2 linked regions of the Struthio camelus genome follow. Each later gene encodes a partner of the first gene's protein in a complex. Links are inferred from orthologs where the notes say so. Each region holds a gene or a part of one and is shown in the gene's direction. Other genes may lie near its edges.

Region 1 (7,650 bases):
CAGGTCTCTCTCTTTTTCTGGAGAAAGCTGATTTCCAAAGCAACGAGGAAGATTAGGGAAACACAGCTGTCAACCCAAAACAAAATCCCTGAACGAGGGGCACCATCTACAGGGGAACAGACTGACACTGACTCAGATCTATCCTTGCGTTACACAGCTGACATCTGTGCAAAACACATGCAGGTTGGTTTGACTATACTTGAACATCCCCTCATAAAAGACCATTTCCATTACCCTTTTCATTTCTATTACCACAGTGTCCTGGAGCCCTGGGCACAAAGCAGGAGCTCTCTGTGTGAGGTACTACACAAATGCAGATCAGAAGAAGCCATCTCTGCATGAACAACTTAAAAGCAGCAGCAGATGCATAGAGATGAAGTGCAAGAAACCAACGAAATCCAAATGAAACATTGAGATAAATATTGGTCAGTGGACTAACCATAATTCTTGTTTTTTGATTCTACCCTTTGATTTCTAACTAGAATGAAAAATAGCAAAAACAAAACCAATTTCCTCCACTCCCTCTGACCAACTCATCTCACACATTGCTCCAAAAATCATCTTCAAAGACAGACTTTACATGACACACTTGCTTTTGTTAGCTGTGTACAGCTGAATAGCTACGCCACTTTTTGTTTTACTGAAGTTTAATTCTCACTTTTGCAACTTAGCTTTCTCTCTTTGACTTCAACTCTTTCATGTTCCCCTGATGTAGACTTGACTTTCTGACTAAGAATGTGCCTTCTAATGCGCCCACATCATCGTCACCTGAAACTGAAATCAGTGGTGGGATGAGAGTGTCATACAATGAAATCTCAAGATTTTAAGTTTTCACCTGTATATACTAGCCCTGGGATACCCAGTAAACTGTACAGTAAAGAGTGGACATTTCATTTCCTAAGATGGACAGTTTTAGAAGCACAAAGGCTCACAGAATCAGAACCTCTTTCTAAATGCTGTCCCATCTACCTAATCACAAGCTAGTTCCTTTGTCTTTAGGCATATAAGCTGCTCCACATACGTGAGAAAAGTCAAAAAGAAGGGAAAAATAGGAATGAAATCAAATGAAAATGAAGTGAAATCCTCTTTCTGGTAAAAATAGGTACCTGTGATCTTTGGCAACAAAAGGCTGGTGAATAATTTGATTATAATGATAGCTACAGTTCAGTTCCTGTTAGTTTACAGCTCCAAATTCTGCCTGGTAAGTAAGTTAACATGCCAACAATATCACTTGCTCCTTCACTCAGCTGCCTATTTGCCCTCATTTCCCATCTTGTACAGCTAACTGTGGCAGTCCTGATACTGGGTCAAACAGTTTCTGAGGTACAAAGGGAATCTGATGGTAGCTTGGCCCCCCAACCAGAGTCCTAACTGCTGTTTTTTGATATGCTACGACTGCTCTTGCTCCTGAATTTGCCTCAGTTCAGTGACTGTTATTCCACTATCTGCTCTTTATAAGCTGTAAAACTTCCAGGGTAGGCCTGAGTGTACTTTGGTGTCACTGGCTTTTGCCCAGGCTTTCTCATTGTTTATGGGGCAAGCAAGAGTCTCTTACTTTCCAGATCTAATTATGGCTCATACTACTTTCTATTCTTGAGGTTTTACCTGGAAGACATAGTTTACAGAAAACAAAAAATAAAAATGGCAAAGATAAATGTTGCATTATTTCTGATCTTGCTTTTTGATTCAGATTCTTTCCAGATGCTCCTGTACCTCTGGCTCAGTCAATGTTTAAATTAGAAACAGGGGATATGAGGGATAAATCAATTCTTCATTCTTACTTTACAGGATTCCTGATCAAACTTCTGAATGTTCATTTACAATCCTCTTTCGAGGCACTAATGAACATTATAAAAACAAAACAGAACAGGTCTAGCGTTTCAGAAAACCATTTCTTCTGGCTTTGCATATTTCTTCTTCTTCCTCAGCATAGGACACCTTCTCCTTCCCTGAACACAACTGTGGAAGACACAATAATAATAATAATGACAAATACAATGATCTGCATTTTGTGAGTTTAGTGATTAGCATTTGGCTAGCACTTCAAGCATTCATTTAACGGCTCTTGAGCTCTTCTACAGCTCCTTTGCCCATTCAGGACTGCATGTTGTCCCTCAAATTTCATAGCTTCTTTACGTTTAATTAAACACTATGACTGGACAGTAACTGCCCATTTCCTTGAGGATGCGGTAGTGAAGTAAAACTTGTTTATAGTACTGGAGACCTCCTTCTGTATGAATCAGCTTTGGGGCCTGAAAGGAACCAAGGCAAGCTGAGTACGTGTGCTAAAAGGAATTAAACCTCTGCAGTAATTTTTTTCCAGTGCAAAGTGGAAAAGAGAATAGGTGAAACGTCTCCCATGCAGCCCCTGTGTATGGTCTCCCACAGAAAATGGGTGAGAAAGGGATGGTCTACACTCTTCAGGGCTACTGCTAGAGAGCGTTTCTGTTCCTTACTGTCTGTACACTAGGAGAGGGCCACTGGGCCTAAATGATGTTTCTTTCTATGCTGAAACACTAAGACAGTGTGTCACGCCTTGTGAACGCAAGACTCCCACAGACTTCTGCCTGTGTGGCTCTTAGGAACACAGCATCAGGTCCATACAGTTATCTGCATCAAAATAGCTGTGTGTGTTTTTTTTTTAACTGACCAGATAAACGATCCTAGAGAAAATAATCACAGAGATCTGTTGTACTGAGAGAGAGAAATTACATGGGGTAATCTGGGCGTTAACGACTGCACTTTTGCACGCACAGGATAAAAAACGGCAGCTCCTCCTTTGTGTAGGTCAGCAAGAGCTGACTGATCTTTCCTTTCCTTTCCTTTCCCTTCCCTTCCGTTTCCCTTCTCGTGGCCTACCATGCCTGTATAAGAAAGACTCATAATGTGACTAAGAGACATAAGAGGACATGTCCAGCACGGATGGGATCACAAAACATGTATTTCAACCGAGCTGGAAAAGGACCGTGACTTTTCAGAAGCAAATACCACCACAAATGTATGGGTGGGGAATGGCAAGATGATGTCTTGTGGAAGTCGAAGTAAGTTGCTTACTTCTGGACATGCCTGGGAGCTTTAAGAGCTTAAACTTGGTCAGCTGTCTGCTAACGATGGCATGTTGAAAGAACGCCTCTTCTTGCCCACATTTGCTATGCATCATATTAAGCTACAATTTAGATAACGTCATATTCACTTCATGTGTGCTAAGTGAAACCAAGCGAATGGTTATGAAATACATTGATACTTACTAAAGATTTCTTAGAACAACTGTAATTCTGTAATATCCTGTACTGTTATGCATCAAGAGTAGGCTGGAACCTGTACGTTTGGTTCCTTGAAGCCCACTACAGGTTACGGAAAACTGTTATGTAAATATCATGGTATTATTTCTAGAATTGTGTAAATAAAATTGTATTTCCCTCCTGTAACTTTGACAATGTGCATGCAACAATAACAAGCTAAAGAACAAAGAACTTCAGCCTGCTGTATCTTTAAAAGCTAAACTTACATCTAAATCTATTCCCACTTCCCTCTGGAACCTGAGTAGCTCTTTATGTTGTATTAAACATTAGACAAATAGGATAGATCTAATTAAAAGTTGGAGAAATGTGCCTCTGCTAATTGAATTTGCTACAGTTACATTTTGGAGACCAATGTTAATCAAAGCTCCGGTTCAGAGCGGCTGGACCTAGGGAATTTAAGTTAACCGTTACATCTCCTTACCTGAATGTGCGACAAAGCCTGCTCTTGCGCAAGCCAAAGCGCCCCACCACGGGCCGCCGCCCGCCGCCGCTGCCGGGGCGGCCCGGGGCCGCGCGAGCACCGACCCCGCCAACCGCCCCAACCGCCGCCGGCCAACGGCAGCCCAGGCCGGCGCCCCCGGCACGGGGGCAGCCAGGGGCCAGCCCCGCCCCTCCCCGCCGCCTCGCGGCCCCCGCGCCGACCCCGGCCGCAAGCGGCGGCGGCGGCCACGCGTGGGGATGCCCGGCCGCCCGGCCGCCCGCCGCCTCGCGGCCCCGCCCGACGGGGCGGACAGGGACCCGCACGGCCGCGGGATGGGCGCGGCCGCCGCCGCGGCTCCACCCATTGTAGGCGCGGCGCCATTGGCTGGCGGCGCCAGGCTCCCCGCCTCCCAGCCAATGAGGGAGGCGGGCCGGGGGTGATGGGCTGCCTCTCGCGGGAGGGATTCCTAGAGCCGCTGCAGTGTGGTGGCGCTCCCGGCGCCGCGCAGCCCCCGTGCCGCCTCCGCCGCCCTGCCCGCCCTACCTACCTACCTACCCGCCCGCCCGCCCGCTGCCGCCGCCGAAACTTGCCGCTCGGCTCGCCGCGGGGCGCCGGGGCAGCCTGCCCGCGCGGGGGCGGCCCGCCGCGCACCCCCGCGCCGCCCGTTGTGCATCGCCGCCTCGTTCCCCCCCCCCCCCGGCGGGCGGGGCCGGGCCGGGCGGGGCCGGGCCGGGCGCGCGTGTGGTACCGGTGCCGCCGCCGCCGCCGAGGGGAGAGCGCCGAAGGACGGGCCGGCGCGCCCGCCCCCGCCGCCAGGTAAGGCAGCGCGCCCGGGGACAGCGCCCGGCGACGGGGGCTTCCCCGGCGGTGGCGGTTGGAGCCGGGGGGGGGGCGGCTGTCGTGCCAGCGGCGAGAGCACATGCTCCGGGGGCGGCTGCGGGGCTGCCGCGCCAACGGCCGCGGGGTGGGGGCGCCCCCTCTTCTCTCCCCCCCCCTCCCCCCGGCCTGGGCGCTCCCGGTGGACAAAGCGGGAGCCCCGGGCCGGGTCGGGGCCCGCTGCGCTCGCCCTCCGCGCCCGCGGAGCGCTGCCCGGGGGAGGGTGGGCGGGCAGCGCCGGCTGCCGTCCAAGTCGCTTTTCTCACCTGGCGGTGTCCGGCCCCCCCGGGTGGGCTGTCCCGGAGGTGGGAGCTGCGGCCGCCCCCGCCGGGGCTCCGCGGGTGCCCGCAGGGGTGTCCTCGCCCAGCACCAACCCCCCCCCCCCCGAGGGCTGACCTTCCCTGCTGGCAGGAGGACAAAACCTAGTAATTTTTGCATCAATTAAAGGAAAAAAAATTCCTCCATTACTTACTTGTGTGGGTTTTTCTTTTCTTTCTTTTTTTTTTTTTGTGTAAAACCCATGCCATTTCATTTTGCTTCCACAGACGTTATTTCCCTCACCTTATTTATACAGCTTCCTTACTTTGATTTCTGATTGTATTATGGGTCCATTTCACGTGCATGCGCATGATATGGGTAAAGGATCGATGCTCTGTTTTGGAAGTTAAATCGGCTTATCAAAAACTTCCAGGTAGAGTAGTCAGAAATTGACAAAGAATTGTTAATATTTCTTTTTGTTTCAAGTCTTGTGAAATAAAGATATCAAACAACTAGCAGCTTCTAGTAGTGAGTATAGTAAGTAAATTAAATGTAGTCATTGGAATGAGCCTTTATGGCACTTTCAACAATCTGTAATTCAATCATCTCTGATACAAGCTGCCTTTTGCTATTATTCATCAGACCCAGCTGAGTGATTTCTGTCAGATGGGAAGTGGTAGAGAGAAATCTCTAGGTAAATGTAACTGGAAAGCTTTCCAAGTGGAGTCCTAAATGAGCACAGAAAAGCACTTGGCTGCAATCTGGAGACAGATGTTGGCATCCAAATAAATCATTTCCTTTGATTGTTTCGGGGAGTGGGGGTGGTGGGTGTCAGGGCTTATTTTCCTTATTTAGTACCCATTTGTGAGTGAAGAAGCAGCTCGGTGCTTATGACCTTGCAAACTTAATGTAAACTGCTTTAATTCAATAGTATTTCCCTGTCTTTCAAATACTATTTTCCGTACAGGGGTCAGTACAGTGATTTTTAGATACAGATATACGTTGCAGTCTGCAACTACAGGCTACTACTAATCAACAGCTGCAATATTGATCCTTCAAGGAGCTATCCAGTGTGCCAGCCGTGCTTTATGTTGATCTATCACATGCTGTTTAAACTGCTTTATTGTCAGAGAGAGTTATTTTCATCCTGAAAAAGAGAAGGCAGTAGTTGTAGACCCAAGAGGAGACTCCTCTCCCTGGTGGGTTAACATCTAGAGTTACAGATGAGCGAGCGTACATTTTAGGAATGACCCTGAAAAGGGGTGTGGGGGCGGGGGGAGGAAGGAAGCTCTTGGGTACAAGGACAAGGGGGCAACAAATTAATTTGCCTTGTGAGTACATGAATTGACGTTTTTAGCCATGCTTACACTTTTTCTGAACAGGTTAGTTTAAGGAAATTCCATGTGTGTCTAGAATGGTATTTTCTTGCCTATATTGGGAACAAATGACCTGATTTTATTTTTTTTATGTCCCAGAGTCAAATATATTTTTATTTTCCTCCCAAGTTTTTTTGCAATTGTAGTTCTATTAGTAGTGTCCAAGGGGAGTATACTTTAATGTGGTCTATTACTTGGCTTGTGGTATAGTTGCTCAAAATTTGCATGCGTGCAATGCATAAATTGAAAAACTATGTAGCTTAAAAATATAGTGTAGGCAGCTGGAGTGAGAAGAGATGATCTTAAAAAAAAAAAAAAAGAACCACAGGGCAAAAGATAATGACATACCGTAGGAAATAATCATGCTCCTGCACTTGCAAAAGCGTGAAATGTTCCAGTGTAGCCATTTCATACAAGCCCAATTTTCCTTCGCATTAAGAGTGCCTAAGTGAGCCTTATTAATGTTTGATGCAAAAGATGCTAAATCCATTTTAAGGATTGATACTGGAATTTAAAGAGGTAGCTCACAGATTAATAGTGCAGTTCTAACACTTCCAACAAATAAACATAATCACTTAAAATATATACTATAGCAGTGGAAATGGAATATAACGTTCTCTGTAGCAGTGTCTAATGACAGACTAGAAGCTCTTTTAAAACCATAAATATAAAATAATATTTGGTTTACAATCCAAAACTTTCTCCCATCTTGTTTGTAATGTAAATCAGATGTAAGAACCCAGAAAACATTCAGCTTCGATTGGCGTAGCAGTTCGGAAGCTGTAAAAATAAAGGAAGATTCTGTTTGTCAGAAACACAGGAAAAATCTATACTAGTTCACCTAGCATAAAGAGAACAGAAACATAAAATCAATTTTTATGGCCTTTTTGACAGGGTTTGCTGTAATATGTAAAAAGAAAAAGTAGTTCAGAATCCTAGAAGTTTTTAAGCCACTCAGCCTTATAGAACTTAAAGTTGACTTATGTTTCCTTAAATAAAAATGAAGCTTTTATTTAGCATATTGCACTTTTTTCTTATCCATTCAGCACTCTTAGTTTAAAAAAATCCTTATGCATAGATGTGTGTATGTTTTTATATATAGATAGATACATATTTAAACACACAGATAAATTCTTACTGGCAACTGAGTTCTGAATAAAAGGGTGTACGCATCCTTACGTTACCTGCTCTGGAAGAGACATCAAAGTTTGCAATACAACTGAAAAGGACAAGAAAATATTTCCCCATGTTGCAGAATAAAAGCACGGAGGTATTCTTATGCATGGATATCATGATCTTCTTCCCTCTGCTGGTGATGTCCATCTAATTGTGCATTTTCGTGAAGAGAAATACGTGATCATTGGTTTACTTCGATTCTCTATAGAATATGTTTGTTTTAAACATTACTCAGTATCTT
Region 2 (8,236 bases), on another chromosome or scaffold:
TGATTGCTGTGGTAAGGACAATAGTATCTGAAGAAATATGCATATATTCCCTTCGTGCCTAATGAAAAGTTAAAAATAATAAACAATTAAGCTGGGTGTTATGGATGTGAAACTGTGTCTGCTGAGGTGAATGTCTACCTTTCAGGCTGAGCTGAGAACCTGGAAGCACTCTCTTTCTGTGCAGTAGAAGAACAACAGGGCACAGAGTCTGGCAGTAAGCTGGAGTCTCATCTGAACATGCTGTTTCCCTCTGTTTCCCTTCTCTGGCAAGGACTAGAGTAATGACAGAAGGCAAGGCATGGAGCGAGCTGGAAGGAATAGAAATTCTGTTCTAAAGGATGTCTGACATTTTGAAACTTTCTTCCACTCCAAATTGCAACAAAGAGGAAAAATGTGACTTCTTCCCCTATGAAGTGGAAAATCTGGAAAAAAAAACCCAAAGTGGTAATCTGATGTGACTGAAGCGTGTAGTTTTGAAGCAGACATATTTTTTGCTGGAAGAGAAAAGTCAAGGCAAAAAGGTTCAGTCGTTGCCAAAGTGCAGCATTTTTGCCATGTCAAAAGAGGAAGTCTCAAAAGCATCAAATATGAGAAAGCCAGAGTGTTTCCTTTAACTGGTTTCCCTTTGAAACTTCTGTCTAAACTGACATATTTCCATAAAACACATGAGTTTGGATGAGTCTTATTTACGGATCGAAAAATTTCTGTCAAAAATACCCCAGATGGTAATGTCACAACCAAAGCTGATGCACTCTGAGCGGAGACATCCTGGAATGAACACTGGGGTGATAAAGATGGATTCTCAGCTCTGTGACCAGATCCTGTTTGCAGAAGAGGCCTTACAATGCACAGGAGTAGATATCCTGGGGATAAGAGCTACAGAATCTTTGGGAAACTACTTTTACACAACTGTGCACATCTGCAGCAACAACAGCTCCTCTGAGATGGGATGCTTCGTCCCTGTCTAGCAAGGCAAGGACTTGTCTAGAGAACCATCAGGAAACAGAAAGGAGAGACAGAGCTGCAGGAACAAGAGGGCTGGAAAAAGGGAGAGGATAAACAAGAAATCACCAATGTCAGGGGACAGAGTAGCTGTCACTGGGGGCCTAGCGAGGGGCTTGTCAGATAAACCAGGCTGGGACACCCTGAGCTGAGCAGAAAGAAATGATATGCAGGCACATCCCTGCAAGACATGGACGTGGAGCAATGTATGCTTGAATCAGGCTTTATAAGTACAGATGACTGAACGCTGGCCTTGTGACAGCTGCAGCAAATGCTCACCTGGAAAAGTCATCTTCTAGAAACCTGGAGGGACGTTTTCTTCAGAGCTGGGCACAATGTTTAAAAAGTCCTTTCGTAGTTTTGGCTTACAGGGAGAATATCCACTTCTTAAAAAGAAGAAACCTACTTTCTATTTGGTTGTGAAATAAAGAGCGTGCTTAAAAGTCTATTGTAAACTGAGTGGAACAACAGTAAGCAAAGCAATCATCTTGAAGAGAGAAAAATGCCTGAATTTTGAAATATTTTGACAGACATCCAGAACTGACAGCTATGAGGAACATGCAATAGATTTGTGTTCATTGAGCTAAACAGTTGGAAGGACGAGAACCACACAAACTACTTGTCGCAGGTTTCTAGCTCATCCCTCTCAGTTGCTGTATTGATTAAAGACTGTAATCATCTCATCAGCATCCAGGTCCTGCCCACAGTGCACTGAATGTTGCTGCGGTTAACATCAGTGTGAGAGATAAAGTGGCAAAAAAAAAAATCAGAAAGAAGAAACAGGTTATGTTCATTTCGGATAGCTATTTACATATTCACTCTAACCTTCATATTCAGTTTGTGAGCTTTTTTATTAGCATCTTTTTAACACATTGATTTCACTTTAGTAGTCAAACACCATATGGAATTGAATAATCAAACATTGCATTTAAAGATGTTGAAATGAAACATCTTGACTCATTCAGAAGTTTTATTTTTTTGAAAGAGACCTTTTTTCTTTTTTTTCTTTTTTTGTAGACCTGAATATTCATTTTTTTCTGTGGGAAATGTGACCATAACTGATTGATGGCTTATTCCATCTGCTTATGCTGACGTTGGCAAAAGTAGAGGCTCTCAACCAGTGACCAAGGAGTCTGAGCTCCCTAGACAAAGCCCTGTGAAGGAGATATTTGCTCTGAATTTTTGGTACCCTTTAGCTGCACCAAGGAAGGTCCCAGAGTACCTTCCTGTTTTTCCAGCTCTAGAGAGGAAGAACAGAGAACAGGCCTGTGCCCACCATCAGGTCTGGAATCAGGGAGCTGAGGGATGTCAGCTACATAACGCAAACTAGGCTAAGAGCTGGCTTCGGTGTTTGGGGAAGCTAGACACGTTAAGGGTAGCCTCAGAGTGTGCTGCAGTTCTCCTTTGTCCCATGGTACTGAGATAAACTCCACTTAGAGGTGCCAGCCTCTGTTTCACTTGTGCTCATCAGAAAATATTGCTATTTCAGAGGTTTGTTGCTGTCCACTAAGTATGCTATTCAATTATTTTACCTTGAGTTTCACACTCATAAAGTGTTCTGGCCACAACCTATTGTTCTATGCCATCGGAAAGAAGATCCATGTGGCATTGCTCGTATGATTGCCAAGGCTGGGTGAGCTGTTATTTCTCCTGTAGCAGAAGCCATGTACCCCTGGAAAATCACCTATGAGTCCACCCAGCTGGGTTTCTCAGTAAATTGAGGGATTGTTCCATTTCACAGTCAAAAGCCTCCTCCAAAGGCCTTTCTGAGACCATTTCTGGACATGGATCTCTAGCCTACCTCCTCTCTTTTTTACTGGGTATTTAGGTCGTTAGCTGATGTAGTGAAAAAAATTGTGTCTTCTCCAAATCAGCCAGTGCTGGCCTCTATCACAGATGAGAAAATGGACTATCTGCAATTGCCTGGCAGCTGGTGTCCAAAGTGGCATGAAGCTGAGGTTGAACTGTGGTACAATGGGGCTGATGTCAGAAGCATCTGCTCCCTGGTTCATTTCTCTGTGATGCTGCTCTCTTTGGCCAGTAGCACTGGACTCCAAGTGTCCACCCTTGCCTCTCTACTTAAACCCTACCTGGTGAGCGAGGGTGCTAGTGGGATCTTTTCTGTCTGTTATTGAATATGGAAGGTACCCACATCTGGCCCACAAGTGTTTGGATTTTCATCTTTTCATGAAGGTACATCCTGGGGGGGGGGGAGGTGCTTTGAGGCTGACACTTAGGATAGTTGAGAGATGCTGAAGCTGAGTCTACCTAGAAATCTCTCAGAGGGGTTTGTGGTTTGGTGATCCAGTGTTATGTCCCTCTTTCCCTCTTGAGGAAGATGGAGGTGAGAAATGATGGGCACTGGGGTAGTGTTTCACTGCATTTGAACCTGAGTTCAAACTGTCTCAGGTTTCTACAACAACTGAGTAATCCGGAAGAAGCGGGACTAGGCTGGGGACAGGATCATGGAGACACCACCTTTGGAGGGGCACTTGCTTGGGGCTCTGGGGATAGAGCATCAGCTACAAATTGATCAGCCAGAGGCTATTAGGACCTCTAGGGGCCTTCTGCCTGGTGTGCCCGTTGCTTTACCTGGCTTTACTCTTTTTCCTTTGTATATATATGTAGTGGAGGACATGCCCAGTCACAAAGTTCATTGTATCAATAAACAAAAGCTAAGGTCCCTATGGATAAGAAGGATGACATTTCTCAGCAGCCCTGCTTGGCTGTGCTGACCCTGGCCTGCTACAGGAGTTTCTTGAACTACCATGCTCCAAGCTCCCCAAAGTGGGGAAAAGATATCTGGGTCTTGGGAATGCTAACTGTGTACCTGTCAGCTCGTCCTTCCCTGTTCCTTGTGTTTGAGGGGATTTGAATAGTTCCTTCCCAAACTCCAGGCAATCGGAGGAAGGTGACCCTGTTGATATTTAATGGGTGGAGGGGAGGGCACACTGTCCTCCCCTCCAAGGGGAATCACATGATGAAGAGGAGATGTGAGGTGCTGCACAAGAGACCCAAAATATGAGTCCTACTCAAAATGATGTGGGCACCCAGGGAGGCAACACAGATCTGGAAATAGCTCATGACTGCACAGGAAACCTGGGTACCTACCTTTAGTGGGCTCCCAGCTTCACTTCCCGGGTGCTCTCCTCTCTGCTTAGTCACTCCTACAGTACAGTTAGGCAATGGAAAGGCAGTAAGAGCATGGAAAGGATTCCAGCATCCCCTTTGGACTGGGAATACCAGAGGCAAGTGAGGGCTCAGAAAAAAAGGCTTTGTTTCCTCGACCTTTTTTTTTTTTTCCTCTTGCTCCCTCTCTCCCCCATTGTTACTAACTTTTGCTTGGATTTCTGAAAGCTGTCAGTGAAAGTGCAGCATGTTCTCCCATCTAGCAGAGCTTCCTAGGCTGATGTCATGGAGCCTCAGTGAAGCTGCTTGAAGCAGAGTGAGGCGGCCTTAGCATTGCACCATGTGCCCCGGTCCCTGCAGCCGGCACCGGAGACTCGGCCAGCCGGAGGGGCCTCGGCGGCTGTCCCGGGGGAGGATTGTTTCCCTGGCCCTGCTCTTGCATCCTTCCCCCTACTACTGCGATGACTTTGGCCCCATATTGGCCCCTTGTGGGTTGCTCTCCCAGCTCTCCTGCTGGCAGCAGGAAGGCAGACCAGCGACTGGGCTCGTTCCCCCCACGTCCTTCAGCAAGCAAAGCAGGGGGGTCTTTCCCTATCTCCTCCAGCCTCCCCAGGCTGCCAAACCCTCCGGAGTGGAGAGGGCTGAGCGGAGCCGCCGGCGATCCTCCCCCGGCCGTATAGCAAAGCCCGAGGCGGCGGAGGTGAGAGAAAGCGCTGCTCCTTCCTTGCCTTCCCTCTCCACCTCTCCGCACCGCCTCGCCGCCCCGGGCCGAGGGGATGAACGGGGATCTCCGGGAAGGAGCCGCAGCGCAGGACGCGGGGCGCTGCCCGCCTTACCCCGTGAGCAGGAAGCTGCATTTGCAGACTCCCCCCTCACGGCGCACCCTGACTCCCGAGGAAACGCCAGGAAGCAGTTGCGAAATGCACAGCAGGATGAATCCTGCCTGAGCAAAGCGCCAGGACAGCTGCCTCCCGCAGCCAGCCGCGGAAGGGGTGGGGGACGCGCACAAAATACCCGCACCCCTCGGCGTGCCTTGCAGCGCTGCGGCCCTGCCGGCGGCGGGCTGCGGGGGGCGAGGGCGGCGCAGGGAAGGGGCGGGCGAGCCGGAGGCAGGGGGAGGGCGAGAGCCTGGCTCCAGCAGGGCGAGGGGGAGGAGGAAGGAGGGACCGTGTCGGTGGGATGGTCCGGAAATCCCGTGATAAAAAGAGGGGCGCGGGGGGGGAAAAGTAGGGAGAAGCTCCGGGCTCGTCCTCTGCCCCGTGTCCCGACACCCCGCAACTTCCCCGACCGCCGCACATGGGCCGCCGGAGCCGCTAGCAGCGGAGCAGCCTCGTCGCGGCACCTGCCGCCGCCCGCACCGGGGCCGCCGGCCCCAGCGCAGCCCCCGCCGCCGGCAGGTATCGGCGCCGGAACCGGGACCGGGAGCGGGACCGGGCGCGGGCCGAGGAGAGGAGTGCTGCCGCCGTGCGGAGGGGCTGCAGGCTTGCGGGGAAGCCTTCCTCCTCCTCCTCCTCCTTCTGCTGCCCATGCCGCTTCCACCCGGTCACCGCGGGGAGGCGGGCGGAGCGGTGCCGGTGCCGGTGCCGGTGCCGGTGCCGGTGCCGGTGCCGGTGCCGGGCCGAGGTGGCGGCGGGGCGCTTGTTCCGGGGCGGCCGAGCCCGGCTCCGCGGGGCCGGCGCGGGGGAGCAGCAGCCCAGCCCGCACGGACGGAGCGGCCGCCGGCGCTGCCCCGCGTGTCCGGCGCCGGGCGGTCCCACTCCGTCCTGCGGGGAAGGTGCAGCCCCCGCTGGCGTTGCCCCGGGGGGTTTCCGCCGGGAGAGGGGATGCTTTGGCGAGGGGGCCCTGCCCCGCGCTTTGCGCCCCGCCGGCCGGCTGCACCCGGGCGCGCAGCACCTGCCCGGCTTTGCGGGGCGCTTCACCTTCAAACGCCCCCGCGGCGGCCCCCGACGCAGCGGGCGAGCTGCAGGGGGAGGCAGGCAGGCGGGGAGGCGGAAAGTTGCCCCGCTTGAACGCCGCGGGCTGGCCGCCGGAGCGCTCCCCTCGGGACAGCCCTGCACGGGGGGGGTCTGCCGTGTCCCCACCCTGCCCTGGTGCTGCTTTGCCCCCCCCCCGTGCTGGGGTGCCCTGTCCTGCCAGCCGGGCTCTGCACGCCTCGGGGTGGGAAACTTGGAGGAAGGCTGCGGGGAGGGATGACCGCAGGTCTGGGCTGGGCAAGCTGAGAGATCCTTCCTCCAGGAGACACTGTTCCTCTCTTGATGTTGGTGTCTCCTCACAGGCTGCCCTCCAAGGACAGGATTCCTGCTCTCCTTGCATGTCAGTTGTGAAACCGGGCAGCAACCCCTAAGCCATCGCCATGGATTTTGTTATGAAACAAGCTTTAGGAGGTAAGTGTGGTTGGCACTGGGGGAGCCACAGATTTCCTCCTCCTCCCCTCCCCCCCCACCCCCAGCTGAGAGAGAGGATGGACCTCTGACAGCCTCCAGTAGGGTCTGCAGCTGGAAGAGCTGTTTGGGGACCCAGCAGCGTCCTGGTCACTGATTTGCGGCCTCAGAGCCAAGTATCTGAGCAATCTGAGCAGGAGAGGGCAGCAACACGCAGAGACCAAAGCCGTGCGTCAGGGGAGAGACCTGCCACACGAGGTGCTCAGGCCCTGGGTAGTGCCTAGCCAGGTACTAGCTGGCTGCTAGTACCCGCTATGCATTGTGTGGGTCCTGCTCTGCTTCATGTCCTACCATGCCTAAGGCAGGTCTTGCAAGGGCTGCAGGCAGGTTTAGTCAGAGCACACTCAAAAATAAGAGTAGCGTTTGATGTGTGTGGGAACCCCTTTTCGCTCCCCCCACCAAACTTCAGCCAAACCAAAGTAAAGACAGTGCAGATGCTGCTGTACTTCGTGTTAGAGGAGTTATTTTTAACAATATTGCTGCAATGAGCAGGGAAATAATTATAAATTAACCCTCGGCACCCACTTGCCCTACCTGGATTTGAGGCAGACCTTTAATGTAATTTCAGTTTGTTTCCTTCTATATGTGATAAGTTGTTTTAACCTAAAAATGGGGGGGGAGGAGGGAAAGTGGTGGGGGGGGGTGAAAAGGAAAACAACACAGAAGTACTTGTGAATGAGATTCCTTCTTTCTCTTGCAATTATGGTCCCTTCCTGGGCTGCTTGGCTTGAATGTTCAGTCAAAACAAGACTCTCACTGAATGATGAATACAGGTTCCTGCAGGGAGCTGGAATGGTTGGCCTGAGAGGAAGTCAATGAGGAGATTCTGATCCCCCACTCCCCCCACCCCCACTGTATAATGTATGTGGTTTTTTCTATGCGTTTTCCTCTGGAGAAACTATAGAGCCATGGGGCTCAGAGTATGTTTCTTACATGTTTCATGCTTGGTTTAACTGATGTCATGGACAGTTTCAACACCTGATAGATACTTTGACTGCAGGAGTCCCTTCCAAGGCATAGAAACATGGTTTTCATCTTCAAAGGAAAAGGAACTGCTTTTTCACCAAGTAGCAAGATCTTGTAGTAAAGAGCAGAGCAAGCATTCCAAGCTTTGGTTGGGGTGTTTTTGAAGGTCAAACTGAAGAAGAAGAAAGGTTCCGCTTTAATTGCACAAAATAGCAGGATTGAAGCTATGCAAGCTGATATGTGTCCTTATGATAGTACTGTTCCATTTCATTACTCTTCGGTGTTTATTTTGAAAGAGAAGTAATTTTGTGAAGGACAGATTTTGCACCATTAGCTATAGTGTGAATGAAGTTGCTTACACTGAGGAGAACAAGGGTACCTACAAACTGGAGATCTTGCCTGTGCAGCTGGAGATGGGAGAATCCATTAAAGGGAAGTAACTGCTTAGTGACTGCAGTTAAAGGCAGCGGGAGGAGGGTTGCAGCAAAGGAGTAAAAATTGCGATGCATGCCTTTTCTTGTGGCTTAGTAACTAACAGGATTTGGAAGCAGTGTCTGCCCTTGCTAAGGAGCATTTACTCTGGGCAGACATCCACTCTAACATAATGTTGCATGCCAGGGTCAGGATTTGCTTTATAATGCGAGCTGCTGAGAAGGCAGGTTCAAAAAGCGTCTGTTGGTGAATTATGAGTTTCAGAG

The links.
Region 2: the proteins of SYT1 (region 1) and CPLX1 are in contact, whole or in part, in a crystal structure (PDB 5W5C), measured with the Rattus norvegicus proteins. The link is inferred for Struthio camelus from reciprocal best matches to the Homo sapiens genes SYT1 and CPLX1. Residues at the interface, in NP_001028852.2 of Rattus norvegicus: Glu271, Thr383, Gly384, Glu386, Thr406, Leu407, Gln408, Glu412, Met416; in NP_074055.1 of Rattus norvegicus: Val61, Met62, Gly65, Asp68, Lys69, Tyr70, Lys74.

What each region holds. Positions count from the first base shown.
Region 1 is NC_090942.1:44,750,484-44,758,133, forward strand, and holds the start of SYT1 (synaptotagmin-1), read left to right. Parts: upstream 1-4,442; 5' UTR 4,443-4,539; intron 4,540-7,650. UniProt on the Homo sapiens protein: Calcium sensor that participates in triggering neurotransmitter release at the synapse. May have a regulatory role in the membrane interactions during trafficking of synaptic vesicles at the active zone of the synapse.
Region 2 is NC_090982.1:1,094,182-1,102,417, forward strand, and holds the start of CPLX1 (complexin-1), read left to right. Parts: upstream 1-5,070; 5' UTR 5,071-5,123; exon of another isoform or gene 5,124-5,528; intron 5,529-6,406; 5' UTR 6,407-6,484; coding exon 6,485-6,515; intron 6,516-8,236. UniProt on the Homo sapiens protein: Positively regulates a late step in exocytosis of various cytoplasmic vesicles, such as synaptic vesicles and other secretory vesicles.